Linked DNA regions of Schizosaccharomyces pombe. Changing the gene in region 3 together with the main gene of any one other region gives a genetic interaction. Each region holds a gene or a part of one and is shown on either strand. Other genes may lie near its edges. The genes, in order: SPOM_SPBC3F6.01C, nnr2 and SPOM_SPCP20C8.02C.

Region 1 (11,011 bases), on a different chromosome or scaffold from region 3:
TCGATCTGGGGCACCATGTATGGGAGCATCTTTGAGCTTTTCAGTTACATCGCTTAGTGAAACATTTAAGTATATCTCCATAAACTGTCCAATTTCAATGTTCTCCATATTTCCTCGAAGATGTTCAGTGACCTCTCCTACTCCATAAACGTTTACATCGACAGCAGTATGGCCGTGAGTGGTCCAGCCAATTTGTGCTTCTACACTAACAATATCACTAAGCACGTTTATAAGATTAAATATATTATGCCGGGCCACGTATATGTCATGAATCTGCTTTGGATTAGGGTCAGGAATGCCAATTGCGGGTAAAACAAACTGTTCAATATAAGGAAGCAACGTATTTTGGTTATGGTTCACGATAGCTGAAGCGAGATATTCAATAGAATGGAGAGCAAGAGATAGGACTTGCGGCTTCCATAAATACTCTGGATATTTTTTGGAGACCTGGCGACCAACAGTCAAACCACCAGTTTCATGATCCGATGTAGAGATTAAAGATCCTCCATTCTTTTCTACAAATGCACTTGCTATTTCAAAGGCCCTGTTGTATTCCATAACTTCGTAAACATGAGCGATAGGGTCATTGTTGTGAGAGGCCATGTCAATTCTACTCCCTTCTATGAGCAAAAAAAATCCTTTAGATGTATCTTCATTAGTGGCGTTGAGCAAAACATCCAAAGCCGTCTCTACCATTTCAGAAAGCTTAGGTTGCACTTCAGGCTGATAATCAATATCATAACTGAGATGATAATCAGAAAACAAACCAAGCAAAGGCAATTGAGCGTTTGATAGCTCATCAAAGTCAGTTCTATTAAGCAAAATTTGGAAACCTTCTTTTTTCCTAGCATATTTCAAAAGATCCAAGTTATCGGATCTACATGATCGATAAGTAGATTTAGGTAAGAATGAACAAAGTCCACCACCGAACAATAAGTCAACACTCCTTCCCAAAGGTCCCATCCCGACTTGGTACTCAGCAATTAAATCTTGCATGAATCGATTCGCGGCATGAGCAGAGAAAGAGGCAGGTGTAGCGTCGGTAACTCTGCTTGTGACAACAATTCCGGTTAAGTAACCGGCTTCTTTAGCAGCCTCTAAGATAGTTCCACAAGGTTTTTCATTATCCAAAACACCAACAGCTCCGTTGTAGGTTTTATTAGCACAAGAAAATGCGGTTGCTCCGGCTGCACTATCCGTAATCAAACTCGAACTGGAACGTGTCCGTGAACTGCCAATTAAATGCTCATCCAAGGGAAGCCTATAACCCTCTTTATCGTTTAGAGTCTCTACAAACGATCTAGTCATAGACAAAGAGCCAGGTCCCATTCCTTTAAAAAAAGTCAGTCACCGAGAAATATTGTAAAAAAAAGGAAGATTCCGTCCCAGTGCTCTAAATATAAAAAAAATCATTTTCCTTCAAAAGAGCAACGGATTTATGAGAGAGCTTACTCCAATCACTTACCGTCAGAAACCATCATAATAACAAATTTTGGTTTCTCATTGGTCCCTTTGGACTTATGAGACGAGAAAAAATAAAAAAATATAACGGTTGATAAAACAAGGATTAACAGAATTCCATGTTTTATCCAAGTTTTCCAATTTCTACGAGAAGGGCTCTCCGGACCCTCGCCATGCACTGGCAGAAGAGGATCGCGCTCAGATGCCATTGAAAACTATTTAAACGGTAAAAATTGAATATCTCTAAAAGAAGGGATGTCAAAGGGTAAAGATCGTTTCAACGCGTATGACTTGTTGATGGATAGTACAAATTTTTGGTGTTGAAACAGCTCAACCATACATTGCATGACGTCATGGTTTAAAGTATTAACTCTCCATGTCGATCCTCGCTATCTTAAATCTGATATCGGATAGTATATGCACAAGTTAATCGAGAATGGCAATTCACCAAGTCCACAAGAAATAGCGTGATGGTAAAACTGTCTATATATACATGTAATATCTACTGTCAAATGCAAGTAGCTGTTGAAAATATTAGAATCAGCTGCTGACATGAAAATCCCGTATATCCAAAATTCGATGCAATTACCTTTCGACTATTATTGAGATCTTGTCATTAACGAAAAAAAATATATATAAGCAAATGAGTTGTGAACAGAAAATAAACAAACAAGTAAAGGACTGAACTGTTACTTGAAAATAAAGTACAGTGTTTAAAGTAGAAGACACATTGATGACTTATGATGGCAGTGAATTTTGAGGGTAATAATAATAAGAAGACAGCATTTTAAATCAGTGCGATATTAAAGGATCAATTGTTTTATTTACTTCATTGTTCATATGAACTTAAACATTATTTATATTTTTATTGTACAAAGAACGTGAAATGGAACTTTTGGAATAAAGAGTAGCTAATCAGGAATTAACATTTGGGAATTCCTAACCATCCAGGTATCGAAACCAATCCTTAAGCTAAAGATTAAACATACAAATAGCATTATTTTTTTGAACGACGGTAACTTCATAAAAACCCAAACAACCAAGTCTTCAAAAAATAATTTAACTGGATCATATAGCTGTGGAACAAATTTTTTCAAAAACCAGAAAATTAAAAAAATGTGGGTGCAAACACTGAGAACAGTGCTTGCAGTCTCCCATCACATACCACTTAGCAGTCCATTGGCATATGCCATTGGGCGAATGTTAGGATGGGGAACGGCTTCAAATTGGTGGAAATCCAACTCCATGTCTTCCTTAACTTTAATTACGGCACCAAGATTTCCGGTACTATCACAATAATTAGGAGCACTAAACACAGTAATACAATAACCATCGTGCTCAACTTCGTAGCCTTGATCTCTGACTTCATGAGAACGGATCACTGCTTTAAGACCATTAGCCTCGCAAAAACGTTTTGAAACATCAGGGCCGAATTGTAAACCCACCCCACGTTTCGATGGTCCTCGTCCTGGAGCAGGTTGTGGATCGGTCCAAAGCATTTCCATCATTAACCCAGATTGTCCAGGTTGCTTTTTACTAAATCTATCAATGTTTCGTAGTTGGTCTAATGTTACGTTATCATCAGAAAATAGGCCACCATGTACAACAAGATAAGAATCGGAAATTAGGGAACCAAGAGGTAGCAGAGAAAAAGTTTCCGAGAAAATATTAAATGTCCTCTCATTATACTTACTACGACATTCACCTTCGAATCCGTAGACTTTGTTCATATCGTCAGTTTCGTGATTACCGCGATTGATGAAAACAGCGTCCGGATATAATAACTTATATGCATAAAGAGTAAAAGCGACTTCAGTGGACCACGAACCACGATCGACAAAGTCACCATTGAATAAATATTTGTTAGTAGGGCTTGGAGGACCATGAAGTTTGAAAATGTTTAACAAGTCAAAATACTGGCCATGGGTGTCACCGCAGATAACCAATGTCTCATCCCCTTTAACAGGAATGTCAATTAAAGAAGGAGTTTTTTCAAGTAATTCTTTTAAGTCTCGCAATATGCTATATGCAAATTTTAGGGGGAGTTTTTTACCTTGGCAAAAGCGTTCCTTCATGTCTTCAACAAACTCTTTCGTTATTTGCTTTTCTAATATTACACCATCATAGTCAGAAGGAATGTCCATGTCTTCAATGTTGATATTCGCAAGTGGTGAAGGAGGTTCAGTATTATGAATAGCCTCCTGAAAACGAATCCTTTTGACCAATTGCTCACATTCACGAAGCTTTTTACGAGCAGCTGGATCACTGGGTGCTAGTGCCAATGCCTTTCGGAAGTCACCGACAGCCTCTTTGGGTTGAAAAATAGCAATATGAGCAGTAGCTCGACGAAAATATGCCTTTGCATATTCGGGGTCGCATTCAATAGCTTTGGAAGCATCATTGATTGCCAGACCATAATCCTCTGACTTTAAATGTGCAAGAGATCTATTGGAGTAAAGAATTGCGTTTGTAGAATCAAGCTCAATGGCTTTTGTATACAAATCTATAGCTTGAACGATATGTCCCTCTTTTAGAAACTTGTTGGCTTCATTTTTTAATTCCAATGCTTCTTTAGCCATTTTATTGAGCAAAAAGTACAAATTCAAGCCCTTGTGAGTTTTTGTTTGGTGGTTGATAGTAGCTAAAAAAGTTTTTATCTGTCCGAACAATGCAGCTTAATAATTGGTAGTATTGGGCTACAAAGAAACAGATATTTAGGATTCTCAAAGATCAAAATGATATTTTTAGAACAACAAATTAATGGCTTTATAAATGCAAACTTTGCAACGCAGCATACATATTAAAAAATAAATACAGAATTTACACAATGTTTTACATTAGAAATCTCAAAAACTTACAAGCGTAATAAAAGCAGTTTCTATGAAGTGTGTCTATTCATTTATCTACGAAATAAAATGACTCGAAACTTATAATACATCAATACATCTCAGATGAGAAAAACTTACAAGGCAATCATTATGTAAAGGAAATAACCATTGTTTTCTAAACACAAGTGATACCGGACAATCTTCGTATAGTTCAAAGAAAGATAACAAAAGCAAACGAGCTGTATCCTTCTCGTCTCAAGCACAACGAGTAGAAAGTACAAAGAGAACGTTATATTGATGTTATTCGATCTTGTCTATATTCCAAGATACCCAAATATTTTTTTTTCCTTTTTTAAGATCTGAGCAATCATCTATCAAATGAAATGATGATATAAGTCATTAACAATTTCCAAAGCGGAAAAAAACTGTTTCGTATCGACATGCTCAAGAGGTAGAACTCATCGAGAAGAAAGTGAACTATGTAGAAATGAAAAAAGACTACGAAGCGTTAGAATTTAAAAATTAAATATTCTTTTAAAGAATAACAAGGCCAATGGCTCAATTTAATGTTTTTTCTCAGTATCCATCCAAGCCAAAGTACGACGAATTCCTTCCTCCAAATCCACAATGGGATGGTACTTCAAAACATCTTCTGCCTTTTGAATGTTAAAGTAACGGTTAGCACAACTAAATTGGACACGGAAACGTGTAAAGCCAGGTTCCTTTTTCAAGAAATAACAAACCCATTCAGCAGCAGTGGCTAAGAGCATACCCACCGGTCTAGGGAATTTGATGATATAAGGGGGAACGTGTCCTGCATGTGCCCAAATAGCACGTGCAAAGTCCCAAAAGTAAATAACCTGTCCATTGGTAATGAAAAAGACTTGGCCATTGGCAGTAGGATTACTAGAAAGTAAATTGTCCATAGCCAGAAGATGAGCATAGGCAGCGTTTTCGATGTAGGTAAAATCAAAAAGATTCAAATTATCACCCAATTGAAATTTGGTTTGTCCATTCTTTAAAACAGAAAGCATACCAGGGACGAGTTGGCGATCACCTGGACCAAATAAACCAGCAACTCTAAGGGCAGCAGTTTTTAAAGATTCAGAACTTGCCTCCAAGACTTGTTTTTCTGCCAAAGCTTTGGACTCGTTATAGGCATCCATATGAACTTCTGGGATGGGCTGGGACTCATCCACATTGATAAGGTCAGCACCATTGAAAACTACACCTGCGGAACTAGTATAAACAAGGGCATCAACATTAAATTTCTGGCATGCTTTGATGATATTCGCTGTGCCATCTACGTTCACTTCAAAGTAAATATCACGAGCAAGGTTATGCACAGGTGAAGCAGTGTGAATAACTACGCGTGGATGAAATTCCTCAAAAACACGCTCAATATCACCTTGTTTCGTTAAATCACCCGTATACATGGTGAATTGACCATGAAGCTCGTGTAGCAACTTTTCATTTTCAAAGAGATCAAATGCAGCAATTCGAAGATTTTCACGTTCGCACAGCTGCCGTATGATATGACCTCCTAAAAATCCACTTCCAATAACTAACACGGAATTCATCGGCATTAAAAAAATACAAGAATAAACGATTGTCTGGTTCTTGCCAGGTATTCGACGTTACACCATATCGAGAAATGAGTGAGCTTATTTGCTACCTGTGTTTTTGGGGTGTAGGCTAGATGCAATACACTAACCATGATTAGCGAGAAAGAGAGCAGCTGTTGAATATGGAACATGGGTTAGAGGATAGTAGCCGATTGAAACTCTATTAGTACAATATGTAGTACGCACTTAGAAAACAGAAAAATTAAGTGAGTAACATCTCGAGTACCATTACAAGAAAACGATGACCTCCCGACCTCGTACCGTTCACATCTAAAACTGGCCTATTGTAAAGCAATGCTGCGTGCTACCTTAAAGCTCGATAATGTTGATAGCAGCCAAAACCCAATTTTCGTACTTTCTTCGTTGAACGTTAAACCAATTTATTATTTATAAATTCTATCGTTATACCTTTTATCAAATCACAATATTCAGCGTAAAACATTTTTCCTCGTTGGTAACCTTAATAAATAAATTATTAAGCAGTGTTGATCGCAGGAACAGCAAATTTTTCTTTTTTGGGTTGTAAACGACTAAAATTTGTTTCCTTGAAATTACTTTTCGCAATTGTTTTTTCTAGGCTACACCAATCGCACTTGAATCATACTTGTTTTTGGTTAAAACCTTAGTAAGGCAAGTAGCCCAGCACGGCTACATTGAGAATTTTGCTTTCTGCGCGTCTCTTTGACAATTTGTTTGGATTGTGGAGGCTTAAACTCTTAACTAACAAAAACGTGGATTTTTCTTGTCGAGTTCTTTCTATTGTACTAGCATAGGTCAGTCGTCTTTCATGTACAAAGCGTCGCTTACTCATGGCTTTGGTGGTTCGTCCATTTATCGTGGCCTCACTAATTCTCGACATTCCTATACCCTCTTCTACCATGTTGGCATTAAATTTGCTTACGCGATATCGGTGTCTCGTTCTGCCACTGTTAATCTAAGCGTTCGCACTTTTACGAATGTCTCGAACGAGTCTCATTATTCATCGCTAGTAAGCACACCATTTCCCAGGGCTCTATATAAGAATCAATTTACCCACTACCACCATATCGCATTCCTTCGATACTTCAGGACATTCTTTCCTTATCAGAAATTTAGCTTCTATAAAGGCATACCCGATTCTTTTAAGAAATCTTTGAAGTTAGGATCTATTTATTCCCCTTTAAAACAAACATATTTCTCTACAAATACTCATATCAATAGTAAGTGAAACGAAAAACGTGCAGGAAATGTGACGGCGATGAAGTCGAACCCAACAAAAAAAAAATTATTACCTAAAAATAAAACTAATTCGGTGATGAATTTTTTTCTTTTTTTTTGTTGATTAGTAGGAAACTTTTTTATTTCCGAACTCACGTGTAAGATTGGGTTTCATCTGTTTTTTTATCATTGTTCGATAATGGTTATCTTGTGTTCTTTCAGCTTTTCTATCCTTCTCGCCTTACAACATTAACGTTTATCTTTTTTTGTTTTGTTTTTTTAATTTTACTGACTTCATTAGTGACTCACAACAAGGTTGTTATTATTGGGTCTGGTCCCGCCGGCCATACTGCAGCCATCTATCTCGCCCGTGGTGAGCTTAAGCCCGTAATGTACGAAGGTATGCTTGCCAACGGTATTGCTGCTGGTGGTCAGCTTACTACTACCACCGATGTCGAAAACTTTCCTGGTTTTCCCGATGGTATCAATGGTACTACCCTTACTGAAAACTTCCGCGCTCAATCTTTGCGTTTTGGAACTGAAATTATTACCGAGACTGTTTCCAAATTAGATCTTTCTTCTCGCCCTTTCAAGTACTGGTTGGAGGGTGCTGAAGAGGAAGAGCCTCATACCGCTGACAGCGTTATTTTGGCTACTGGTGCTTCCGCTCGTCGCCTTCACATTACTGGTGAGGATACTTATTGGCAAGCAGGTATATCTGCTTGTGCTGTATGTGATGGTGCCGTTCCCATTTATCGTAACAAGCCTCTTGCTGTCGTTGGTGGTGGTGACTCTGCTGCCGAAGAGGCCCAGTTTTTAACAAAGTATGGTAGCAAAGTTTATGTCCTTGTGCGCCGTGACAAGCTTCGTGCTTCTCCCATTATGGCCAAGCGTCTTTTGGCTAACCCTAAGGTGGAAGTTTTGTGGAACACCGTTGCTGAGGAGGCCCAAGGCGATGGCAAGTTGCTCAATAACCTTCGTATCAAGAATACCAACACGAATGAAGTCTCTGATCTTCAGGTTAACGGACTCTTTTATGCTATTGGACATATCCCTGCTACTAAGTTAGTAGCTGAACAAATTGAGCTTGATGAAGCCGGTTACATTAAAACTATTAATGGAACTCCTCGTACTTCAATTCCTGGCTTTTTTGCCGCTGGTGATGTTCAAGATAAGGTCTTCCGCCAAGCCATCACTTCTGCTGGAAGTGGTTGTCAAGCAGCTTTATTGGCTATGCATTACCTTGAAGAATTGGAAGATACCGATTAGAACTAATCTAGAATAGTTACTGATTCCCTTTTCCCTTTTTGGTATTCATATGCATTTTGTATGCTCCTTTCCTTTCTTTTGTTTATCCAATAATTTTAGGAGTATCTTATCAATTATTGTTTACTATAGATACATGGCTTTTTGATTCGTAGTTATTTTTACACGAAGAGCAATAATAATGATTGTTTCCCTTTTTCTACACCTTAGTTTACGCATGGTATGTATGTAAAATTATATAAGTTTTTTTACTATTGATATAATAGTAATAGTGGACTTTGGCTGGAAGTATTAAGCTAAAATCATCAATTACCTATAAATTTTCCCCTAATGATCCCTATACTACCCTTTATAATTTAAATTCAAAAACTTAAAGAAATGCACACTTTCTCTAGACAGCCGGATCAAAATGCTGCAAACGATTTTCCAACTTCCGCATTTTCTCATTGTAGGCTTGGTCCTTAGCACGTTGCTCTTGCCTTCTCTCCCTAGCAATAAACCTGGCATCCTTGCGGAGAGTGCGGATAGCTCCTTTCTTGGCATCGCGGTGTTGAGCACGCAACTTGTTGAGTTGAGCCCTTTCGGGATCAATATCATGGGAGCTTTTGTCAAGAGAATAACCTTCCTCAAACTTAGGAACTTGACTAGTAATTCCTAAAGGACGATGAGATTGTAAAGCCAATGGTTTACGGTTTGCTTTAGCTGATTCAATAGAATCGGAAACAGCCTGTAAAGTAGATAATAATTTTTCCGATAAACGTTTACTCAAAAGTTCCTTTTTCAAAGAGTACAATTGTAACATGTCCATAATGGGTACAAATATTTCAATGAAAGCTTGCTCCTTAAAATAAATGTCAATCGCCATTTCTATCAAATTTAAAGTTATAAATAAAATGGAAGACTGTAGAAGCCCTGTCGGTAACTCTTCTAATTCATATAGGCTTAGCCTTTGAGGTTCATCGAGAGATATATCTTGAATGGCGAATAAATTTTGCTTTTCCTTCAAAGAATCAGGAAGTGCAAATGTTCCTGGTACTATAGATATGAAATTGGGGTATAGCAAATAAAGTGCCTGTGAGACTGCCGTTATAACTTCAGGAACATAACGGTGGCTGTAACTTTGAAACTTCAAGAATAAATTGGCAATATACAGCTTCTTGCAAACATCTGATAGAGAATCAGCAGGAGATTGGGACAAAGACTCTGCCATTGTAAGCATAACAGGACTTACAACAATATGCTTTTTATCTGAAGTTGGGAAGATTGAACCAGTCAGATTGAAAAACAATAAGTCAGAAATTTCAGGAAACTTAATTTCCGGATACACATAAGATTTTGCTAGGCGTTTGCGCATCCCTTCAACAACTGAAATAAAGGATATTCCTAAAGCACTGGGAAACTGTTGTGCCAAAGAGTGTAGATGCTCAGTCAAATGCTCCAATAACTCCATTGAAATCATAGGTTGACGAGTTAAGTGAAGTATATGTTGTAATAAAATAACAGAAAAATTTTCAAGGCGCGATTTGTTATCTGGATGCAGCTTAACATGATGCAAAGTACGTATACGAGAGACTACAGTTGGATAATCCTTATAATCCAGGCCTTTAAGAAGTTGAACAAACTCTACGTGAGAAGTAGGACACGGGTACGTATATGCTAAAGACGCTTTTTCAGAGCCTTCGTTTTTTATAGCCGATCCAACTAAAGGTTGTTCCTCCACTTTTAGCTGTTCATCATCTACAAAAGATGTGTCCGAATTTACTGACTCTTCATCTTCCGATTCTTCAGCTTCCTCATTTATTCCATTCCATTCCTCCTCATTTTCCTGTTCTAAACCTTTTCCAAACCCAAATACGTTATCAGTAGCTTGCTCATCTTCGATGCTACCAGCTTCACTAGCAGAATCTTCTTGGTAATGTTCCATTCTAGAAATTCTTTGGTCCTCTAATTCACGCAAACGATCAGCTTCAATTTGAGCAAGCTCCTCTTCGGTCTTAGTACGCTCAGTAGGATGCGCGCGTTTGTCGAAAACCATTTCACGGACAAATGAATCATAACGTGCATCTCCGTCTGAAATTATTGGTCGTTGTGTTTTTATGCCGGACTTCCTAGATGCTTTTTTATAATCCGACAAAAAGGATTGCAAATCCTCCATCTGTTCGTCAAGTTTTTCTCTTTCGTCCTCATATCTTTCTTTCTCTGCTTGACGTTCAGCTTTGTAATGCTTGGACTTGGCAATAATTTCCGACATCACTTCACGTTTAGATTTATGTGCACCTTCACCTTCTTTCTCATTTTCGGCATCAGAATCCTCAAATCCGCCAAAATGCATGCGACGAACTACTTCATCGTTTAACTCCTCTCCTTCATCAAGTCCAAATCCAGGTTCTTCAAAGGAATCTATATCAGACAAAGGCCTATTACCATGAGTCAAAACATCTTCTGCATCTAGATTGTAAAGCTCTCTTTTGCTACGACGCTGTTGTTCACGACTAAATCGTTCTAACATTTTCTCTTCAACTGATAAATGTGGATTGTTCTCACCAAATCGTCGATCGATTATAGCTCCAGAACGATTCCTCTTTTTCAATTCAGCCCCAATTGTTCTCCTTCGAAGTTCCTCTCCAACACCCC
Region 2 (11,011 bases), 1.4 Mb from region 3:
TCTCACATTTCTTTTTTTCAAATTAAATAGTAACATTTTTAATTGATAACGCATTTCAATATTCCATATTGTCAATTATGACTTTCCAAGAAGAAAAACAGTAGAATGAAAATACAACGTTGAGGTCAAGATAGGAATTGATTAATAATCTAGATATCTAAATCGTAGAATATTAGAATTTAACTATTATATGAAGGTTTGAATTGGTTTCCGAAGCTATTGTCGTGCTCATAGATACATCGTCTTATAGTAAAACTTAGGAACAATACTAATTTCCGTTAAATTTGATAATGTAAATAATGACAATTACGAATCAAAAAGAAGAGTCTGCTTGCCCTTGTCTGTTACAATAAATAAAAACGGTGACAGCTACATCAAATTTCCTCAACAACAATGATACCAACGACTATGCAATGTTTATTTTGAACATGGTTTTTAAAATTAAATACGCTATTTCATTAATAATCTGGTATTTTCGTTTCAGTCATTCCTAGTAACTAAGTTTAAGGTATCCCTTTGCTTGGGAATTTGAACCAAGACTTGAAAACATGGTAATAATGTCAATTCCAGGGAACAAACAAGCAAAAAAGTCAATTATTAGTTTAAGGGTCCTTTATCTTCTTGGTTTTTAAATATTATTTTTTTTTAATCTTTTATTTTTTCCTCGACAGACGGTATCTCATCCTCCATTAACGCATTATACGCTTTACCCACATGTCTGACCAGGTCAGTTGATTGAGTTGCACGACCACATTCCTTAAACGCCAAACGACTGCACCAGCGAGTACAGGCAGAGGCTCCAAATGCGGCAAGGAAGAGACATTCTTTAGCATCCATATTACCTTCTGTATCCCATTCTTTGCTAAGATAAGCATGTCTCCAAGCAAGGAATGTAGCAAGTATACCAGTTAAAATGTCACCCTGACCACCACAACGTTTAAGACCACCAGGAACGGAGCAAGCATATGCAGTAGCGCCATCGGAAATAATATCGGATTGGCCTTTTTGAATGATGAGCAAATTTAGTTTGCCAGCTAGCTGATTGCAAGCATCGGGTCCGTCACTCTTAATGTCAAGCTTGTCGCAAAGTCTTTTGAACTCAATAACGTTAGGTGTTAAAATTACATTATGATAACCCGAAACCAATTCGGGACGTTGTTGAATTAACCACAAGCCATCAGCATCGATAACCATAGGCATATCATTTTTGCGCGCATACTCAATTACTTTGGCCATAATCTCTTGCATCCATTCATCACGTCCCAATCCAGGCCCAATTACGATGGCATGCAATCTTCCCATCATGGGCTTTATAAGTTCAAAGCATTTATCGACACTATCTTCTGGTCCAGCTTTGTCCTTTTCACGTAAAAATGGATGAACAATCAGATCAGGAGAATAGCTTTTAATGACATTTGCAGCTTCTTTTTCACAAAATATGTGGCTTTGGTCACTGCCGAAGAGCATCGACGACATCGAAGAATAGTACGGAGCACCTGTGTAGTGCTGACAACCCCCAAAAACACCAACTCGACCGGCTTGACCTTTGTGGAAGGTATCAAGAAGTGGTGGAATGATGCGCTTCACACGAGTCAGCAAATTTGTAATTTTGGGAGATCCAGATGTCATGTTGTAATCTTGTTGAGCGAATTCTTCGGATAGCAAAAAATTATAAAGAATTACAATTATAATAAATCAAAAAGTCTTTAAAATTCCTGAATTTTGTATCTCTTAAGTACTGTGAGTGCTTCGGAATACGAATGTTCGGTTATTCTTGGAGTTGGCGTATGTATGATGTTAAGGTGGAAGGTATGATCAAAATGACGCTCAGTGATGAAGTTCAAATGTTCTCGAAAACAAAAAAAAAACGTAAAGAAACCCTTTGTTTTTTAAAAATTTCGCACTGACGATATCAAAAGGATGATCCCCTTGTTCATTACGAAAATCAGCAGTTTGTATAGAGTAAACGAAGTTTGGTAAGAAGATTTGCAAATATTCACAGATATCATGAGATTCCAGTATAATAAGAAAAATTTGATATTAAAAAATCCAAAAGTCCAAATACTACCACTGCTGCAATTAAGAATATCGCTTAGTGGAAAGATAGAAATAAAATTATGAATTCAATCGGAGATGCAAGACAACAGTCTAATGTGATGAAATATATTGAGTAGTTAATATCTCCATAAAGTAAAGGGGCTTTCGTAAGATCTAAACCATATTGTTTCAAGGAGAACCAGTAATGGGGATAATAACATATACGTACCTAGTATGGGTAATTACAGGAAAACAGGGCATTTAGATGTAAATGGAAGCCTTACAGCAATTAAAAAAAAAGAAGAGACAGTGAAAATGATTAGATAAGATACACACGAGATTTGACCAAACCCCCATGAAAACTGCGCATAGCAGTATGAGTTTTATCGGGGATTTGCAAACGACGAAAAGCTTCTAAAACATGAGAAACTTGAAGGGGAGTTCTCCCCTCAGTAAGTCCATCAAATAAACTGCAATTTTTCGGATGATGCGCTGCATGAGAGCCTCCACTACCCGAGCTATTTTGAATCCGATCCATTCGATCTTTCACAGCCAGTGCTTCCTCAGTTAAGGTAGCCACAATCTCAAAGGTCAAGAAGCCAAGTATATCTACAATATCATTATCAGGGCGAGTATCTGTTAGAATAGACATGCCACACCATTCACGAAATCGCTTGCCTTTTCGATAAGTAAAACTGGCTTGTCGACATTCACTCCAATGAACATACTCCTCACGCGTCATTTTCTTCGTGCGTTCATCTGCCATTTTAAGACGTTGTCGCGTCGCATATGCCATTTCCATCGTATCGTTATCTTCTTCAAACTCTTCTGTTTCCGGTACAGGCTCTGTAAACATATTTTTTACTTCCCAAGGCATAGCAACTGCATTCATTGACCTTGTTTTTGAATCTACTTCCTCAAAAAGATCTTTTGTATCGGCAGGATTGGCATCCTGCTCCTTCGCTTTCTTGCGCACTTCCTTCCATGACAGGTATGTCTTTAGTCGATTCACCTTTGCACGATCATGGCGAATTAAGAAAAATAAATCTTCCACAGTAATAGATCTTGAGCCACGTCGTAAAGCTAGCTCATTTGCCTGAATTAACATCTCCATCACTTGTCCACGTATTAGCTCTTCGACTAATTGTGTGGTTTCTGGGAGAGGATCCTGCACCTCCCCTAGAATGAACATCATTTGTTGAATTTCAACACGATATTTACTGGTTCTGCCAGTCTCAGTCATTCCGCATTGCTTATTTTTAACCACTTCCCAAAGTGGTGGGTAGTTGACAAGTTGCTGAACTCCAAACTGACAAGAAAAATATAGTTTCCAGTAAGAAGGACTAATTGATGGGGCATAAAGTGCTTTAAGTTGAAAAAGAAAAACCATTGTCAAACGTTTAGCTTGCAAAAAGCAAACAAATTTTATGAGAGCTGGATACACTATCCAAACTGCAAACCCAGTCCATTCTTTCGTTACAGAACATCCAGTACAACTAGTTAGTGAAGAAGTGTTATTAGAAGAGTAACTCCTGTCTTTTTTTGAAGCATAGGTTTATTAATTTAAGATTGTAAATGTTTGAAATTTTTTACCTTCGTAACTTGTTTACTTCCGTTTAAAGTAGATACTTGAGTAATCTATAAAGTGAAAAGCATCAACTTTCTTTGGTCTGAAACTCTCTTTTGCTAGATCATTCATCTTTGTTGCCATAAATGTAAACACCTTCTAATTATCAGCAATTTGTGATATTACTAGCAATTCTTTAGATTATGTTTTCGTGTTTAGAAGGATTTCATTAGTCTGAGTGATATTGCAATTTCTTCTTAATGCTTCTATTTCGAGCATGCTGTAAAATCGTCTGCTACCAATCTCTGTAATTTTTAATACTTCCAAAATGTTTAAGTGTGACTAGAAACTAAATTGAATACTCTGAACAAATGAATACCCTATTGAAGCCATCACTCATAAATTCGAGGAGTTAATTGCGGGAACATCAAATTGGCGGCTTAGCCTGAACCTCGGAGAAAGGGTCAAAGTGTAATTCTTCTATTATTTAAAAAAGTTTAACCGCTTCTTAAAGCAACCAAAAACCTCTTATTAACTAACTAGTCTGCATTTCATCAGTCTTTATTTATTATTGTTTACCAACTTCATTAAACATCTCGGTTAGATAAACTCTAATTTGCTATACGATCTGATAATTTGTGTTGGCGTACCTTTTGCATACTGCCATTTACCATACACTCTGGATGACTGAGAATTATGGAAGCATGGAGCATCGTAAAAAGAGTTTTCGTAATAACGAAAATTTAGAACAGCAATTTCATCCCCTTAGAGAAGAGCTTGATAATGCTGGACCCATAAATGATCGTACTTCAGAATTGTCACTAGAAGGTGTTTCCAAAGCTGAGGCAATTGCTTCAACATGGTCTAAAAGATCGATTATTGTTGCTTACCTTGGGTATGTTAGTATTGTAGTCATGATAATCCATAAATCACGTAGTGTTTGCATACATCTGTTGAATGTTTGTGTTTGTGGTATGATCAAGCTAACACAATGTCTTCTCTTTTAGTCTCTATTTGTTGTCATTTGCATCTTCATTAGAGCAGCAAACTACGTATTCTTTGCAAAGATACGCAACCAGCAACTTTTCCGCCCATTCAAACTTGGCTACAATCAATTTGGTGGGCAATATTCTTTTAGCAGTTGTTCGAGCACCAATGGTAAAGGCTGCCGATGTCTTTGGACGTTCGGAGAGTCTTAGTTTAGCATTAGGAATGACAGTGTTGGGATATCTTTCATTGGCATTTTCTCGAAATATTCAAATGTTTACCGTAGCATATATCCTCTATATATGCGGCCAAACTGGGCTAGGTCTGTTATCTCAATTAATTATTGCAGACACATCTTCGCTACTCAATCGGGGGATTCTCTCTGCTATCCCAGAACTTCCCTATCTTGCAACTGTTTGGATTGGACCAGTGCTTGCTCAAGCCTTTCATCCTGAGAAAAATTATGGGTGGAGATTGGGTTATGGTATATGGGCGTTCATTTTACCAACAGTTTCATTACCTCTCTTGGCTTCGCTTTTCCTAAACCAAAGAAAAGCCAAGGCTGCAGGTTTATATAGAGAACATCATAACTTGATCAATCATTCCACTCCTGAAAAACTTAGACTATTTTATTTGTTTTGGCAGGAATTGGATGGTCTTGGAATAGTGTTGTTTGTGTCTGGCTTTACGCTTTTGTTGCTGCCTTTTTCCCATTCGAGTCAGGTAGTTTCACCAGACTCAACAATTTTAACTCTCTTTACTATAACTCTCTCCATTGCTTTGTTAGTAACCCTATGCTTCTACGACGTCAAATATGCACGCTATCCCGTTTTCGCCTTAAAATCTTTGAAAGACCGTACCATCCTTGGTTCATGCGTTTTAATTTTCACATATTTCATGTCTTATTATATTTTCTCAAATTTTTTAACTTCTTTCCTTCAAGTCTCTTATGGATTATCAATTGACATGAGTAGCCTTACCCTTAATGTTTTTGTATTTTCAATGACTACGACGGCTATCCTGTCAGGTTTTCTCATGAAGCGGTTTGGTCGCTTCAAGATGTTGCTTATGATTTCTGTTCCTATGTACGTATTGGGGATTTTGGGTATCATCTTATTTGGTATTAACGATAACCACTATACCCGTCCCCTAGTTTTAGTGCTTATACTTGCTGGTATGGGAGGTGGGTTACTGACGTTAAGTGCGCAAATTGCTGTTCAGTCAGTATCGTCACATGCTAAATTAGGTATGAATCTCACGTTGTATTTAACGTTTTCTTCTGTTGGTGGTGCCTTTGGATCTGCTATTGCAGGAGGCGTATGGAGTAAGAGGCTCTCAAGTCGTTTGTTACATGACCTTAAAGATCATCTTCCTGTCCCAGAAATTGAATCAATATTCCGGGACCTACGAACTGCTCTGTCATACCCCCAAGGGACTCAAATTCGTAATATCATTAATGTTGCTTATACTGCCACCGAGAAGGATCTTTTCCATATCTCACTTGTTGCCTCTTTATTTATGTTTGCCGGACTTGTTATAATTAGAGATGTCCCCCTTTCCACTGAAAATCATGATACAGCCGTCGAAACTCCCTCAGAATAATTTACAATTAATTTTTTTAGAATAGTGAACCTAAGTATGCTATCCAAAAATCCTTCTTATCTTTATAAATCCCCGTTTTTATGCTTTCATTTTTCAATTGTCTTTCTTAAACGTACAAAAATTTCCAATTTTTGGGTCATTGGAGTACGATTACGACTTTTTTTTATATCATTAGTACAAGGGATTTTCAAGGGTTTGTATTAATAAATTTAAAATTATTCAATTCTAAATGTTTTATAAATAAGTGTTTTATTGACAAGTTTTCTTTTGAGAAGGTGAATCGTCTTCTGCCGGTCGTTTTTCGTTTTTCTTGTTAGTAGCATACAATTGATCAATTGCCTCTCCAACAAGATGACGCTTGGCTTGCCAAATGTTGCGATCCAAGTAGGGATGATCAAAGTCTTCAAGATTATCGGGAGGATGAAACCAATAATTAAATGCAATATGTACATCGCTACCTCCAGAACTAGCGCTTGAAGAGGTGACTTCATGAAACCAACTTGCTGGTAAATAAAGCATGTCGCCAGGTTCTAAATCCACCACTAGAGGAACTGTCCCCGCAAGAGCAGAAAGCTCATCTTTATCAACATCAACATTCTTAGCATCATCAAATCCCATGAATTTATGCAATCCATTAACACTCACCTTGGTAAAATGATCAGGTAATTCGGGTTTTGTATCCTGCAAACTAGTTGCTTCAATATCATTTCCTTCATTCAATAAAATATCACTTTCCGGATCACCGCCAACTGATCCGTCTAACAAGCTAGCAGCATCTCCTTCTTCTAAATCATTCCAATCTTCTTCAGGTCCGCCAATTTGCATTTGAAGAACTCTGTCCATCTCATTTTCATATTCAGCTTCCAATAGTTCGATACTTTCTTGAGGGACCGCTAGTTCTTTCAAAGAACCAATTTTTTTTTCTAAAAATTGTGTTTTTGCAATTGCAGCATCAAGCTCAGTGAGTCCATCGCTGCGCTGAGGGCAATCTTCACCTTCATAAGAAATTAACCCATTAGGGTGGATTTTTGAAATTTTTCCAGAGAGTTTAAGTTGATTTGCATGATCTGGTGAAATAATTACGAATCTCTTGTATCCGGAAATGACCGCATATATGTTATCGTGAAAATCATGGTGTAAACCGGAAGAAGTGCCGTTCTCACTTTTTCCAATCCAAAGATTGCATTGCTGGGGGACCAAATTGCCCATTAATGCCGGGGTTATTGAAAAGTCGGTAAGCAAACCATCAGTAGGATGAGGACATAAACTTTTAACAAGAAGAGAAACCTCATCATCTCCATCTAAAACCTCGTTGGATTCATCGTACTGTGTAGTCAAATAAAGTCGTTCACCATTTTTTAGTTTTTGAAAAAATTCTTTGATGGACATTTCATTTCGACTCATACCTTGTCCAAAGGTCCCAGAAACAGGATCGATCGGCTCAACCTTGCATACGATATCACCAATTTTAGAGAGCAAGTAATCCTGTTGCTGCCATAGGTAACCCTTCCAGTCAGACTCTGGTAAGGAGGATTTAATGATGACGGGAGTCCTGGTAGCAATGAACTTATCATAAAAATCTTTAGGTGTTAAATCGTTCAAGTTCTGGAGCACTGGAACCTTGTCTCCGTGTTTAGGCGAGTATCCTGCTTTCGTTAGCTCAGAGCAATGAGTCCTAATTTCTCTTACCTTTATAGGTTGATAATTCACTCATAATAAGTTGCTATCGCTCTGCTAACGACCATTTGAGAAATTTGCCTTTTATATGGCCGCTCAAAACGGAAATTGCTTTTCTATTGAAAATTGATGATCACAAATATTTATTTTGGGATAGTATTAATGCACTAAAAGAAAGTTATGTGCATACAAGAAAATTTAGCACAGACTTGAACTTGAATTGGATACAAGTTGTGAATGAAATAACGGCGTCTACAACATTTCCAAATGTAACGAAAAGCGATAACAAAGCTAAATCGCTAAACATATAGCTAACTACATTTCATATATATACTGGGCAACCAACAAACCACAGTTATATAGTTATTATACACCAAATTACATATACAAGAATCAGATCTGCTTCAGCGAAATGATATCAAATGCATACATTATACTACACTCTGAAGTCAATATGCTTTAACAATCAAAAAAATATGTTCAGTAACTACTTGCCAATTTTATAAAAATTTTAGATACATATGTGCAGTGCACTGCTCTTCTACTTAGCGCATGCATAACCAACTCGATGGAATCTTACAAGGGCCGGAAATGCCAAAGTTTCAATAAATAAGAAGTCCCGCAAGTGCCAACACAAAGATAGATTTACCTATTTACCTAAGGTTATGAATCTAAAACTTCATCAAGTGAGGACGGTCACCGTTAGACAAAGCGAAGGAAGCAGCGAGGTATTCCTTCATATTAGGGATAGCCTTGATAGCAGGGAGAAGCTTAGCATCAACGGCCTTTTGGTCAGCAATACGCTCAGCGGGAAGAGCGTTCTTGGGAGCGTTCTCGGCGAAGAAAGCTTCATCCTTCTTGACGGGTCCGCTACGCTTTTGCTTGGCAAAGTAAGCCTTGGTGAACTTCTCAACAGAGACACCGGAGACATCGATCTTGGGGGCAGAGGTAGCAATCACATAACGGTGGTTGACACGACGGATAGGGACACCGTTGACCTTGTAAGGGCCAGTAACGACAAGAGTGTCCTCCAATTGACTGAGGACAACAACACGCTTACCACGGAAGCGTCCAGCCAACAAAATGCAAACAGTTCCGGGTGCTAAAGAAGCACGGAGCTTGGTAGGGCGTACAGCCTTACGAGCCTTCTTGGGGACGTTTTCACGGTAGGCAGGATAGTATTTAGCGGCGGCCTCGCCGGCAGGCAACACCATACGTTCTCCGCCGTTCTTAGCTCCGTTGACCTTGACTGTAGACATCTTTTTATGCTTGGAGTTTTTGGGTGGTGTAGAGATTCTTCTAACATAAAATGAGAAATTTAGTGACTCCCAAAAAGAACAGTCACATGTTGTGTTAGCACTTTAGGGTAGGGCAAGGACGAAAGTTAGAGCAGTCCAGCACTGAACAGCGTTGCTCATGGGAAATGGTAAAATGATAAAATTATAAGTAATGTATCGTTATATGATTAAAAATTCCGTATTCCAGTGTTCGAAGAATATGGATATAATTGAAACAAAAAGATGCCTTTAAAGTAGTCAATTGAGCCGAAGTTGCTTTCGATAATAATTCCTGAATCAAATGATAAATACTGCAAAATAGGCAGTGTAAAAATGAAGAAACTGAGAACGTCATTTGTGCCAAAACATAATATAGTGGATAAAGGCAATAATAAAATGCTGGGAATGCAATTCATGAATCAAATTTTAGGATTTTTAAATCGTACCCTTGATTTATCTTTCATTAAATTGCATGTTACATGAATTTATTCATCCAAGCTCTTAACTTCTGCATTTCCAAGCTTTTGCTTTTTTCTGAGTAACAAAGTAGTTTGATCGCCATCCTTGCTTTTTTTCTTTCTATCCTTCTTTGCTTCTTTTTTTTCAAATTTATTCAAATGCTCCTTCCGGGATGCTGCTCCTAAATTGGACAAACGCGCTGATTCTTTCATTAATTCGACATCATCTGATGATTTACCTACCATAAATCGTAAAAGTTCAACCTCTTTCTTCCATTGCTCTGGAGATTTGGCAGGAGTCTCCAAAACTAATGGGATCCCATCCCACCGTGAATCATTCATTATTAGTCGAAAAGGCTCTAATCCTAAAAATCCTAAACCAATGTTTTCATGCAAATCACGATTGCTACCAAGAGGAGCCTTGGAATCATTTAAGTGCCATCCAGACACGTATTTGGCTCCAACCTTTTCGTCAAACTCGTCAATAACTTTTTTGTAGCTCTCTTCGGTGCGAATATCGTAGCCTGCAGCAAATGTATGACAGGTGTCCAAGCAAACCCTCCAACGGTCTAAGTTCTTAATCTTTGACTTTAAAGCTGCAAAGTCATCAAAGGTCCCTCCCAGACAATTTCCCTGACCAGCCATGTTCTCTGTAACTATAATAACGCTTTTGGTCTCTTCGTGCGCACGATTGATGCATTCTGCTAAGTTGTTGATTCCTTCTTCCTTTGTACACGAAGCAGTACTACCAGGACTACAAAGATCAAAAGAGTTAGTACGTTTTGGGTAAAATATAAGTAAATAGAGCACACTATGAATGACATACTGAAAATTGTACAAACCAACACCAAGTCTTTCACAGCGCTTCAGGTCGTCGACAAAGCAATTGAATGCCTGTTCTCTTTTCTGCTCATCGGCATTGGCCATGTTAATCAGATAGCTTCCATGGACAAGAACCTGTTTGCTCGCATCGAATTTCATTTCGGATGCTGTCTCCAAGAATTTTTGAGCAACATCCTCCGATAAATCCGGAGAGGTCCATTTTCTTTGTGATTTTACAAAAAAAGCACAACTATTGGCACTGATATAAAATTTCGTTAGCAGATAAGCTTTGTTTATTGCACACATCAGTCACCTCCTTCAAAATTATGTGAGAAAAGTTTATAGCATAAGCTATGGTTTTTGAAAACGACAAATAGACGTACCATCAGCAAATCCTCTAACAATTTGCTAATAACTACTAGTGAATCAGTTTGCAAGTCGCAATAATGCACGATTACGCCAAGCCTAACGTACACTTTCTCAACATATTCAAGCTGATTGCTTTAAGAATATACTTACTTGATATTTTTCATATTGATTAGAGCGTTAAAAACGCCCCCAGCTGCAGAAATATGCGCGCCTAC
Region 3 (10,871 bases):
CTGGTTTCAGTGCCAAAAATGCAAAAATCAGTGGGAGATTGTATTCCATGAGGATGAAGTTTCTAAAAAAAAATGAAACATTGACCATTAACCTAATTGATACTTATAACATAACTTTTATAAACAAAAGAAACTTGGGTATCTTGTTCAAGTAGTATTTAAAATCGAACGAAAGATACTTACTTTTGTATATTCATTTTTCCTTAGACGTCATTTCGCTTGGTAGAAAGACTATATCTGTTTTACAGTACAGCCGACATAAGCGACGTATATTAGAATCCTGATGGACACAATACAAAGAGAAAATAGCTGATTATTACAAAAAAATTAATTAAATGAATTAAGCACAATATTTATTTGATTGAAAGTTGCTACTGTGACACGAGAATTGAAGCGTGACACCTTAGTAACGGCGCAAAAACAATCGAAGGGACGTAATTTAATCATTTAAATTATATCCATAAATAGTTCTTTTTCACTTTAAATTCAAACGCATCGCAAACTCGTTGTTTCAACTTGATATTCTCGGTGGGATTAAATGAATACTATAACCATTAAAATATTGAATACACTGTTCCTTCGTCAAATAATCGACGTCTTCATGTCTTTCTGACAATGGAAGTTTTAATTTTCCCGGTTCATCTCCATTAAGAAACGGTACTGGAAGATCCGGCTGACCATACTCTTGAGTCATATTTTCAAGTCTCCTCGTTAGCATGGTCAATTTGCAAGAATTATTATCATTCATAGTTTGCGTTTTTTGTTTCAAAAAATTTAAATTTTTTTCTCTTACTTTTTAAGCATTTCCTCATTTTTTTTGTTCAAGAAAATTAATCCTGTCCTTTATAGAGGAAATTTCACCCTCCATAAATGCATTCCATTTTGCATAGAGTTAAATTTAGATGCCATGCCTTCCTGCATAGACTCCATTTTAAAAAATACTTATTGGACGAAAATTCCTAATTCTCTATTTGTCTCTCTAAATTCATTGTGAATATTATACTTCTGCTCGGAAATTTCTCTTTCAATTACCAACTTTTCCGATCCTGTCCTTCAATATATTTTATCAAAATTTAATGGAACAAAATTTGCAGGTCTCTCAATTCTTATTTTTCTGAAAGGTATAAAGTCTTCTGAAGAATTATTTGTAGTATGAAGTTTACATCCACGCCAATATTTCTTCTGACATCTGCCTGACTAAATAACGAACGAACTAAAGTCCCATATAAGTGAATTTAATTTAAACTAGTTATAAGTACTATAGTAAATAATAATAATTTCGATTGTCTCGCATGTGCCAATCGGTATACACAGAATCGAGGAACACGATATAAAAAATTACGGCATGCAATTGAAATTAGTGTTTGATGTATATACTATATAGTAGCTCTAAACTTTTCAAAAGAAGAAAAGGGATTATAATACCAAAGAGATTATCTGCTGGTGTATGCATTTAGACAAGATGAGATAACTTTGAGCATGAATAATATATATTTGGCTACCTTTCATCCAAAATGTTGTCGTTTTATTTTGGGATGATAGTATAATCAGTCGTGCTACACGTAAAATTCTGATCGAAAATACCTTTAAATCTGTCAAATTTCTATTTATGGTTCTATAACTGGATATTGACAACAGAGAAGCGCATAGGTTGTTTTCGTACACTTAAAAATTTTATTTCTTAAAAGCCAGATAAGAACTATAAAATTTCTACTTCAGATATATTAATTTAAACTTTGAGTAGCTATCTAATGATATGAGATAGAAACTGCTAAACACTATGATCAATCCCAAAATATGCTTAACACCATTATCGGGTAGACGTACGAAGAGATAGTAGCTTAATGTGGTTGATTTATGCGAATATCACATATAGGGTGGATGTCTAATTAATTAGTTTTGCTAGGTTAAACTTTGAAAAAATTTAATTTGAATTAAATTTAATACTGGTAATTAAATACGATTCATTGCGCTTCTTAATCAATATGATAGCTATAAGTGAGTTCTTTATAAATTTGTTTGTATTTTTTTTTTTTAAAAAAAAAATTAAAATTTTAGAAAATACCTTAAAAAACCTAAGCAAACCTAAGCGAATTTCTATTGTGTACATCAACTTCAATTTATTTCCTATTAATTTCAACACAAACAAAACATTGTCAAGCATGACTTAGACTCGATGTTATAATTTTCATTATTGTTTCAGCACAAATAAGGGGACTGCTTGTATAAGTTGAGTAGCCTAAATGAAATTTTCTAAATTGTAAACATCTTCACAAACTGCTACCGACCAAATAATGACCCACTCTTACAGAAATTTAAACGATACCTATCTATTTTTTTAATTGCTCAAACAAATTATTTATCCACAACCTCATTTTTATTTGGAAGAAAATGAAAGATACAATAGAATTTTGAGTATATGAGACTAAAATCAATGTAAATAATTCCCGGAAAGCAATGATTAAAGAGCATGCAAATATAGAGACTTTTTTCTTGCAATATAAGCCATATTGATATTTATTTCCATGCTTATTTGTTTAGGATTCTAACTGTTATGCGAAATCAAAGTCCAACTTTTCATTTTTATTTGACATTATCTTGATGGACGATAGCTTGCTTAAATCGCTTATTTTCATTTCCATGTGTTACTTAAACATAAACTTCACGTTCAATACGATGGTGAGGATTAACATCAAGTACAAGCTTATTTATACTAGTAATTCGTTTGTTGTATAAACGAAGTATGAAGAAGTACGAAAAAGGCGCGATTCAGCTCAAAAGTGAGTTTTGGGCTTCCTTTCTTTATTAACATTATGAAATCGACTTTTACCGAACGGGCATTGCAAATGTGATACGAATAAAACCGAATACCTCGTTGGTTCATGATACAGTTGAAATGATTTTGGAACCCTTATCAGTCAAGATGTAAAGGATGAGTTCGATAGATAAAATATCTCAAGGTTTTACAACAGGGGAGAAAACCATTTTCAAAATTTCCCTCTAATGACTCCTACCGCTGATGCACTCTTTTTGAATGGTTTATCTTAGTAAAATTTAAATTCACTAACAGCTATGGAACTGTATCTATTAACGTAGATACCGATTATTTAGAGATTAAAATGTTGTAGAGCTATTTCCCAAATATAACTTTACACAGGATAGTTATTCTGAATTTTAGATCGTTACAAAGTGCTTTTTTAATCGTTTTCTGTATCTAAGTTCCTAAAGGTTCAATACATCGAATATGAATTTATTCAAGCTGTTGAATGTTACTGTAACCACAAGGATCTTAGCTCATTGTAATATGAGAGTTAGCGGAGATGTGCTTATATTCAATATGTTATCAGTCAATGAGGATGAATACGGACTAGCAAACCAAAGTTGCTTCCTTTTGATAAAACGTGTATTTTTGCTATAGAAGCACTAATCAATTACAGAAGCAGACCCTTATCCTGCCACTCACTACTCTCTTAACCAAGTCGTCAGAGGTGGTGACTTCGAATAGCCCCATTGGTAATAATGCGAACACATATTATATTAAGCTACAACAGAGAAGAGCTACTACTGACTATAAAAGCGAAAAAGTGATGTATAAATATCATAATAAGGACAAGTAAAAAACAATCTTCTACTAAGAGAAGATAAAGCAGCAAAAGATATAGAAATACAGACTCCTTAAAATGTGTGATACTTGTGTGGCACGTGTCCTTTTGACCACAAGCCAATCACTTTTTGAAGCCGTTCTTTCAACTTGACAGTCTCAAGAGGACTAAATTTATAAAACACCATACCCATGAAGATACTGAATACACTGTTCCCTTGTCAAATTATCAATGTCTTCGAAGCTTGCAAGCGGTGGGAGTTCATAGTCTCTAGGTTCATCTCCGTTAAGGAATGGTACTGGAACAGCCGAATAATGCATATTTGAACGGACCATATTTTCATATTTTTTTGTTAGCATCATCGACTTGCAAGAACGATCATCAATTTTTTGCATCGTTTGAGCCATATTATTAAATCTTTCTTCAGTTTTTTGATCCAAAAGATCGATTTTTCTATCTAATTGAGATATAGAACCTTTGATGGCAGTTAATTCGTTCTTAAAAGTAGTTGCTTTACCTTTGATGGAAGCAATGTCATTTTTCATGACAGTCATCTCATTGTACATAGCGTCAAACCTAGAATTCATGTCATTCTGCGTTGAGTTATTTTAGAAAATATTCGCTCGAAAATTCCTCCTAGTTTAGTATTTGCCCATTCGTCTATCCAGCGTGGAAACTGTAATTCTCCCAATGGTTCCTCCGGAACTTCCCTTTCTATCGCCAATCTCTTCCAATTTCGCAACTTTTGATCACATTCAGTTTCAAATCTATTTAATGTTCCTTTGCTTGACGAAAATTTTTCAATCGTTTCCTGATTATTCTCACCGAATTCTAGTAAAGCAGAATTTAGAGATCTTTCGAATTTCTTGATAAACGGTTGCAAGTCTTCTGCTGAATCATCTGGTGGAGGTAAGTCGAAACCATTTTCAAAATTCTCGTTTGACGTCGATTTTTAATCAATAATGAGCGTAGTCATTTTTTAGAAAGATATAGTGTGTTGTTCTAGTAAATGTTAACGCTGTTTATTAAAAGTTGGTAGAGTGTTTTAAACGTGTTGTTCAATATGTATCCAGGATCAAGAACACCAGATAAAAATACAATTACAAAGTTACACCAGTTTATGTATAAATATATATATAATTTTCAAAGCCTTTGGAACCCTCATTATCTACAATGAAAACAAAGCATGCAAAGGACCAAAAGAGGTAAACAAAGAAAAGAAAACAAAAATAGGGCCTTTAATAAGTAAGAACAATGAAAATGTCTAGTGGCGCAGATGTTTAGATAAATAGATAACTGCATTATATGTTTGCATTAAATAATTCCAGTTTGGAAATATAAGAAACTTATTCTAACCTGTACTCACCTATGTCAATTTTCTAAAGATAAAGTTAAAATAAAATAAAAATAAGTTTTTAACTTTATCTTCAGTTGTCTGGTGTTTCTTAACCTTCATCCCATGGGTATACAAAAATAAACAAAACATTGAAAGGAATTATATTATCACTCAAAACTGCTTTTTGCTAAGAATTTGACTCATTGTTGAAATTTTTTTCCTTTCGTTTAACAGGAAAAGATCAAAGATTATTGCTTTGAACATATTCCAACTAATTCCAAGTCGGTTAAAAAAGCGCTCCTATGATTTTAACGAAAGGTGCTGAGGCAGTGTTCTTCCTCTACGCAGTTTGGTTTTAGAAAGACGATACAATAAGATGCGCTGGTGTTTACCAATATCAAGTTGCTACATATAGTACCTGTGTATTGCAATATAATAGATCACAAGGAAAACTCACCGCGGTTCTAAGTATGTTAAACAGATACCAAACCGCGTAGCTAACACTGACTCCTCATACATCAAATGCCCCCGGCAACAACCGAGTTAGTCGCATGGGACAATTATCATGTAATATATCATTTCAAACCGTTAATATTGTTCAACTACAAAAATTAATTTAAAGGTAGAACTCAGTATATATACACTTTTTTTCGGTTAGTTTTATAAGCTAAACGGAGAAAGATATAACATTAGAACCTGACAGATCTTATATGTTATTGCTGTTTTGTATTTGTTGTGTATTCATAAAACTTGTCTTAGCTGAGGTGAATTTGACTTTTGTTGACTATGCTAAGCTGCCTCCCAACTATGCAGAATTACTTGCTAATTTAATTGACCAACATGGACTGATGCTATTTGATACAGCTGATGTACGAATTGAAGCTTACAACTACTTATTAAATAGCATTACAGAAACAAACACTGATACCGATGCTTACTTATGTCAACTTCTAACAGGTCAGTATACCACTGATTGTTATATATTTGGTGACAGTGTTTATGAAGGACCTGAAAATATCAATCCTTCAACCAGGTATATCGATTAAGGATTTGGACATTAGCTTTTGCAATGTACAAGGGGCGAATAAGAGACAAACCGTGTCTCTTGCTTCTTGTGGTGTGTTGATAGCACATCTGTACAATGTTCAATACAAATATGTCGATGATAGTCAAGCAAGTTGGTTTGTGACAACAACTACGGAGTTTCATGGAGTTGCATAGTAGGAGGTCAAAGCTTTCTAAGTTTAGGTTGTCTAGTAGAGAGATGTGAAGGACACTGTGCTGGTTCCGAACAGACAATGCAATGGAGCTGCAAAGTTAAAGGAGCTGGAGTCAATTCCAAGTTTACGGACTACTGCAAGAGAAGTCGTCCAACAGGTTGTACTCAGCTATTTAGGCAACGCAAGGTATATAGCGTATTTCCATTTATAGATATTGTCATTGATGATACCTACGAATGAAGTCACCAGCAATTTTATCTCAGGGTAGTAAATGGTGACTTTATTTGAGATCATGTTTAGAGCTTAGTGGTCTATGAAGTTGAACTAGTCCGACTCACAAACCAGATGAGATCGCCCGATTTGAGATGATTAGAATAATCTTAATTTTAAATGAGTGAATAATACACAGGATAAATGGTATAGGCAGGATTAAGAGATGTCAGTACTTGTAAAAACGAAGCGAGTAATTGGATAATAAATATGGGTTAAATAAATGTCAACTTAGACCAATAGTTAGTCAAGAATATACAAAACTCAATCTTTCCAAATTAAATAAATTGTGTTTATGTACGATAAAAGTTCCTTTTGGATATCAATGTGTAACATTACGTAAATGGGCAAATTTGCCATTTTATTTTTTATTCAATTTATTTAAATATAGTTTTCTTTAGAGGCGTTTCTATTCTATCTAGCATTTTCAAGCTAAATGACAATTGTACATATCAAGTATTATGTAGGAGTTTTTACGTATTTGCTTTGTGCAGTTTACCTATTATATTTGCTCATAGTAACTATTTAACAGCAGAGGTATATTTCAATGAAAGTATACTTGCTTGAGAGTTTCTTAAACACATTGTTTCAGGAACGTGAAAAAACTCTTTCGTCTTAAAATAATTGGGGGTATTCTATTAAGCTTTGTTTCTTTCATTAATTTGCAGAGGCTATTTCAATAACCAGTTTATATCCCTTGAGCATATATTGTAGCTACCGCTTATACAATCTACAAATTATCTAGCTTGAATGAGTAATGTGCTTTTGATTAAAACACCTTATGATTGCTACAAGCTGTTAAGCAGCCTTTGAAACGAATAAAGTAATCCAGGCTAACGAAATTTTTTGTATCAACATTGTTGGCCATGTTTGCTTTTATACATGTACTCCTCTATTCAATAAATCTAACTTTGTAATAAGTTACCTGCAAATAAGCCATTTTTCTTTTATTTTACAGATAAAGCCCATTTTCATTATCTGTATCACGTACTCCCAATGTGAAGTTACTTAGGTTACCTTGTTTCTTAATCCATCAAAAACTCTTTTCTTTGTCCTTAGCATTCTTTGTTTAAAGTTGTATATAAGGGGAACTTGAGAGATTTGAATTTACTTACAACACATATATTAAATATTGCTTTCAACACACGTTTGTACTTTTATTTTCCAAGATTTCCCTTTCTGAGAAATATTTGTCAATTAGTAAACATATAAGGCAGGCTACAAAAGATATCATTTGTATAGTTATAGTGAATTGCAATTTTATCGTTAAAAAGAATACTGCGGTTTATTGCAACTGGTTTTGTATAAATAATAAGGATGATGTCGAACGAGAATTTTGATAATGACTACAATCTGCCACCACCAAATGATTCTGCGGAAGATTTAAAAATTTTCATTAAAAGATACGAGAGATCTGTAGATTCTACATTGTTAGAAATTGACGAAAACAAAAGAGAAGCACTTGAAAAATATATTGAGGAACGAGATCGTAAAATGAAATATGAAATTGAATGCAATGAAAGGCTACAAGGATGGAAAAAGTTAGCGATTGAAAGGGAAATTTCTGAAGAACAATCGGGAGAAGTACAATTTCCACGCTGGATAGATGAATGGGCAAACACTAAACTAGGTGGAATTTTCGAACGAATATTTTCTAAAATGGACTCAATGCAAAATGACATGAATTCTCGGTTTGACGCTATGCAGAATGAGATGAATTCTCGGTTTGACACTGTACAGAATGAGATGACATCTATGAAAGGCGAAATGGCCGAAATGAAAGTTGAAATGGTTGAAATGAAAAGGGAAACGATCCGTTTGAACACTAGAATTGATTTACTCGAGCAAAAAACTGAAGCAAGGTTTCAGTCAATAGAGCAGCGATTTAATTCTATAGACCAACGATTTAATTCCATAGACCGAAGATTTGATTCTATGGAGCAGCGACTTGACTCAATGGATCAGAAAATGGAAACAATTGATGCTCGCTCATGTAGGTCGATCATGTTGACAAGAAAGCTTGAAAATACAACTCGTTCAGACCAAGGTTATTTGGCATAACCAGTGCCATTTCTGAATGGTAATGAGCCGGCTAATAGTGGATTACCGCCGATAGAAAGAGTCGAAGACATTGATGAATTATCAAAGGAACAGTGTGTCCAATATCTTAAGGGATATGGTATAATGTTTAGTCCTGCTGAAACTATTAAGTTGAAAAAGCGACTTCGTGATGCAGTAGGCTTATGGTCAAAAGCGAGTACTGAATATGAATTTCATCAGTTCCATTGAATTTATGTTTTTGTTCAAATATCTTGCTTTCTCTTCGTTTTTTATTGATACTTTGATATTTTATTGTATATTTTCGCTTTGATGTTTTATGTTTCGGTGTTAATAAACGTTTTTTAATGAAATTGATGCTTTATATAATTAGATGTCAATTGATCCCTTCTATCGTAAAGCTTATATAGTGAAAGACGTATATTTGCAATTAAGAGCAATTTATCTTGTCCGCGAAAAGGTTGACTATTTTACAAATTGTATTCAACAACTAACAAATCCCAATTTTTTTACCATAAATGTTACTTGCTAATATTTATTGTACAGATAGCTTTCCTTGCGATAGATATAACTTTATTTAGCGGAATATCTTTGTGGACTATATGAGATGAAGGTCTGGTTAGTGCCTGCAGCTGACAATACAGAAGACGATCACTACTCTAATAAGCTAACCGGATTTTTTTCACCGAAGTATAAATTTTTTTTGTAACTAATATTTTACAATTTATATTTTATTTCGTTCAAGAAATTCATCCGTTTTGGCATACAGCTTCCTATAATTTTTTATTTGTTGGTTTTGTGAAAACAAATATATGACTAGGTTTTTTCAGATCCCTGCATAGAGTCTAATGAAATTGAAAAAGAAAAATGAACCTTTTAAAGACCAATCAACACTTCTCCTTTTTCATGACAAAGTCTAAAGACGTCCATGATGTGATAACGATACTTTCACTTTCATTATGATACTATTATATTTACCCTTTTAGTAGTAAGTGAGCTCAATGAGAATATAAAATTTGAAAAGATATTCATGTGTGCTAACACACTTTTAATCCAATTCCTTGTTTGTTCGTAACATACCTGGTACACCAATCTTGCGCATAATGATACTGTAGACCGTAAGGAAATTGTACATAGTTGATGCATCAGATAGTTAACTAATAACTGTGCAAAGCATGAAATTAAAATGGGCCAGAATTTCGTAAATCGGTTAGCTTATTGCAAAAAAAGTAATAATATTTAACGAATTCCACAACATGTACTAAATAATAAATCCAAATTAATACGGATATTTGCCCTATGAACTTGTTCACATTTCGATAGGTGGTAATTATGTAAAATATGATCCATATTTTTTGTATTCGTGCGTAGTTATGTAATAGTTGGTAAAAGTGGTACTTTTGAAATACACATACTAATTGTAACCGAAAGAGCGAAACAGCATTATGAGCCTACAGATAAGATGCGATATTTTTTGCTCTAAAATATCGTGATTTGAAAAAAGAAAAGGAACTATTTTTTTGAGCTCAACTATCTTATGCAACGAACACAAAGAAACCCGGCCTAATTAATTTGACTTTTGATTAATAAAGTGGAAACAAGAGAGAAGAAGGAAAGTGAAATAATAAGGATAGAAATACTACAATTCAACTTAAATGCCATTTTTACATTGGCGGTCAATCATACAATAGTTAGGTGTGCTAATAAGCAATGGGGTTAAAACCTTTTGATCCTTATTCTGAATTTTAATTTTATTATGAATTCTTATGATATAAGTCATTTAGTGGAGACATAATCCATGCCTCAGTAAATCAGAACATGAGCAAGTGTGAAGTTCGAGTGGCGACATCCAAAGAAGTGCTCATAACTGTTCTTGTGCTTGGATTTAGTTTCTGATGAAAAAAATCGGCAAACCGTTGCTGCAAGGTTGGCAAAGTTAAACGGGTAATTGTGGAAACGCTTAAGAAGAACGAGCTTCTATCACATTGTGGACCCCTGAATTATACGTACTTCCTACACGGTGTAACAGTTGTTAGCGATAATACACTGCGTTGCATATCACTATATGTCGCATGTTCTATTTACACATTGTACCATAGATGATATGATATTGAGATAGAATTGAATGATAACTTATTAAAATATGTAGTAATTAGAATAACGTAGATAGAAGTAAAGCTGAAGCTCGTTTCTCAGCTTAGTTCTAGATCGGTTACTGATACTATTGGATTTTTTTAACAATAAATATAACACTATTGTTTAAACACACTTAGTATATCGCAATAGAAACTCATTGCAATAAATTTATTGTTAAACATATACCAAACTGCGTAGCTGATAACTAAGGTAATTTTAATTATCGTTCATTGTCAAAAACATTGATAC

What was found.
Region 1: mutations in SPOM_SPCP20C8.02C (region 3) and SPOM_SPBC3F6.01C together harm fitness more than expected from each alone (negative genetic interaction), as found in Schizosaccharomyces pombe (one large-scale study listed by BioGRID).
Region 2: mutations in SPOM_SPCP20C8.02C (region 3) and nnr2 together harm fitness more than expected from each alone (negative genetic interaction), as found in Schizosaccharomyces pombe (one large-scale study listed by BioGRID).

Annotation. Positions count from the first base shown.
Region 1 is NC_003423.3:4,182,855-4,193,865, forward strand, and holds SPOM_SPBC3F6.01C (serine/threonine protein phosphatase), read right to left. Parts: upstream 4,105-11,011; 5' UTR 4,041-4,104; coding exon 2,619-4,040; 3' UTR 1,745-2,618; downstream 1-1,744. Other genes in the region: pho8 (alkaline phosphatase), read right to left, coding at 1-1,331, 1,466-1,670; erg26 (3 beta-hydroxysteroid dehydrogenase/delta 5-to-4-isomerase), read right to left, coding at 4,853-5,875; thioredoxin reductase Trr1, read left to right, coding at 7,113-7,113, 7,413-8,380; U3 snoRNP protein Nop14, read right to left, coding at 8,769-11,011. UniProt on the Schizosaccharomyces pombe protein: Protein phosphatase that specifically binds to and dephosphorylates the molecular chaperone Hsp90. Dephosphorylation positively regulates the Hsp90 chaperone machinery.
Region 2 is NC_003421.2:1,435,271-1,446,281, reverse strand, and holds nnr2 (NADHX dehydratase Nnr2), read right to left. Parts: upstream 1,794-11,011; 5' UTR 1,630-1,793; coding exon 646-1,629; 3' UTR 400-645; downstream 1-399. Other genes in the region: SAGA complex subunit Spt3, read right to left, coding at 2,357-3,280; siderophore-Fe(3+) transporter Str2, read left to right, coding at 4,288-4,499, 4,612-6,193; histone demethylase Jmj4, read right to left, coding at 6,443-7,839, 7,883-7,907; rpl6 (60S ribosomal protein eL6), read right to left, coding at 8,542-9,129; apn1 (AP endonuclease, minor transcript), read right to left, coding at 9,633-10,359, 10,432-10,686, 10,947-11,010.
Region 3 is NC_003421.2:26,298-37,168, reverse strand, and holds SPOM_SPCP20C8.02C (uncharacterized protein), read left to right. Parts: upstream 1-5,648; coding exon 5,649-5,984; 3' UTR 5,985-6,608; downstream 6,609-10,871. Other genes in the region: SPOM_SPCC1884.01 (uncharacterized protein), read right to left, coding at 184-197; protein new22, read right to left, coding at 512-748; SPOM_SPCP20C8.01C (uncharacterized protein), read left to right, coding at 7,746-8,489.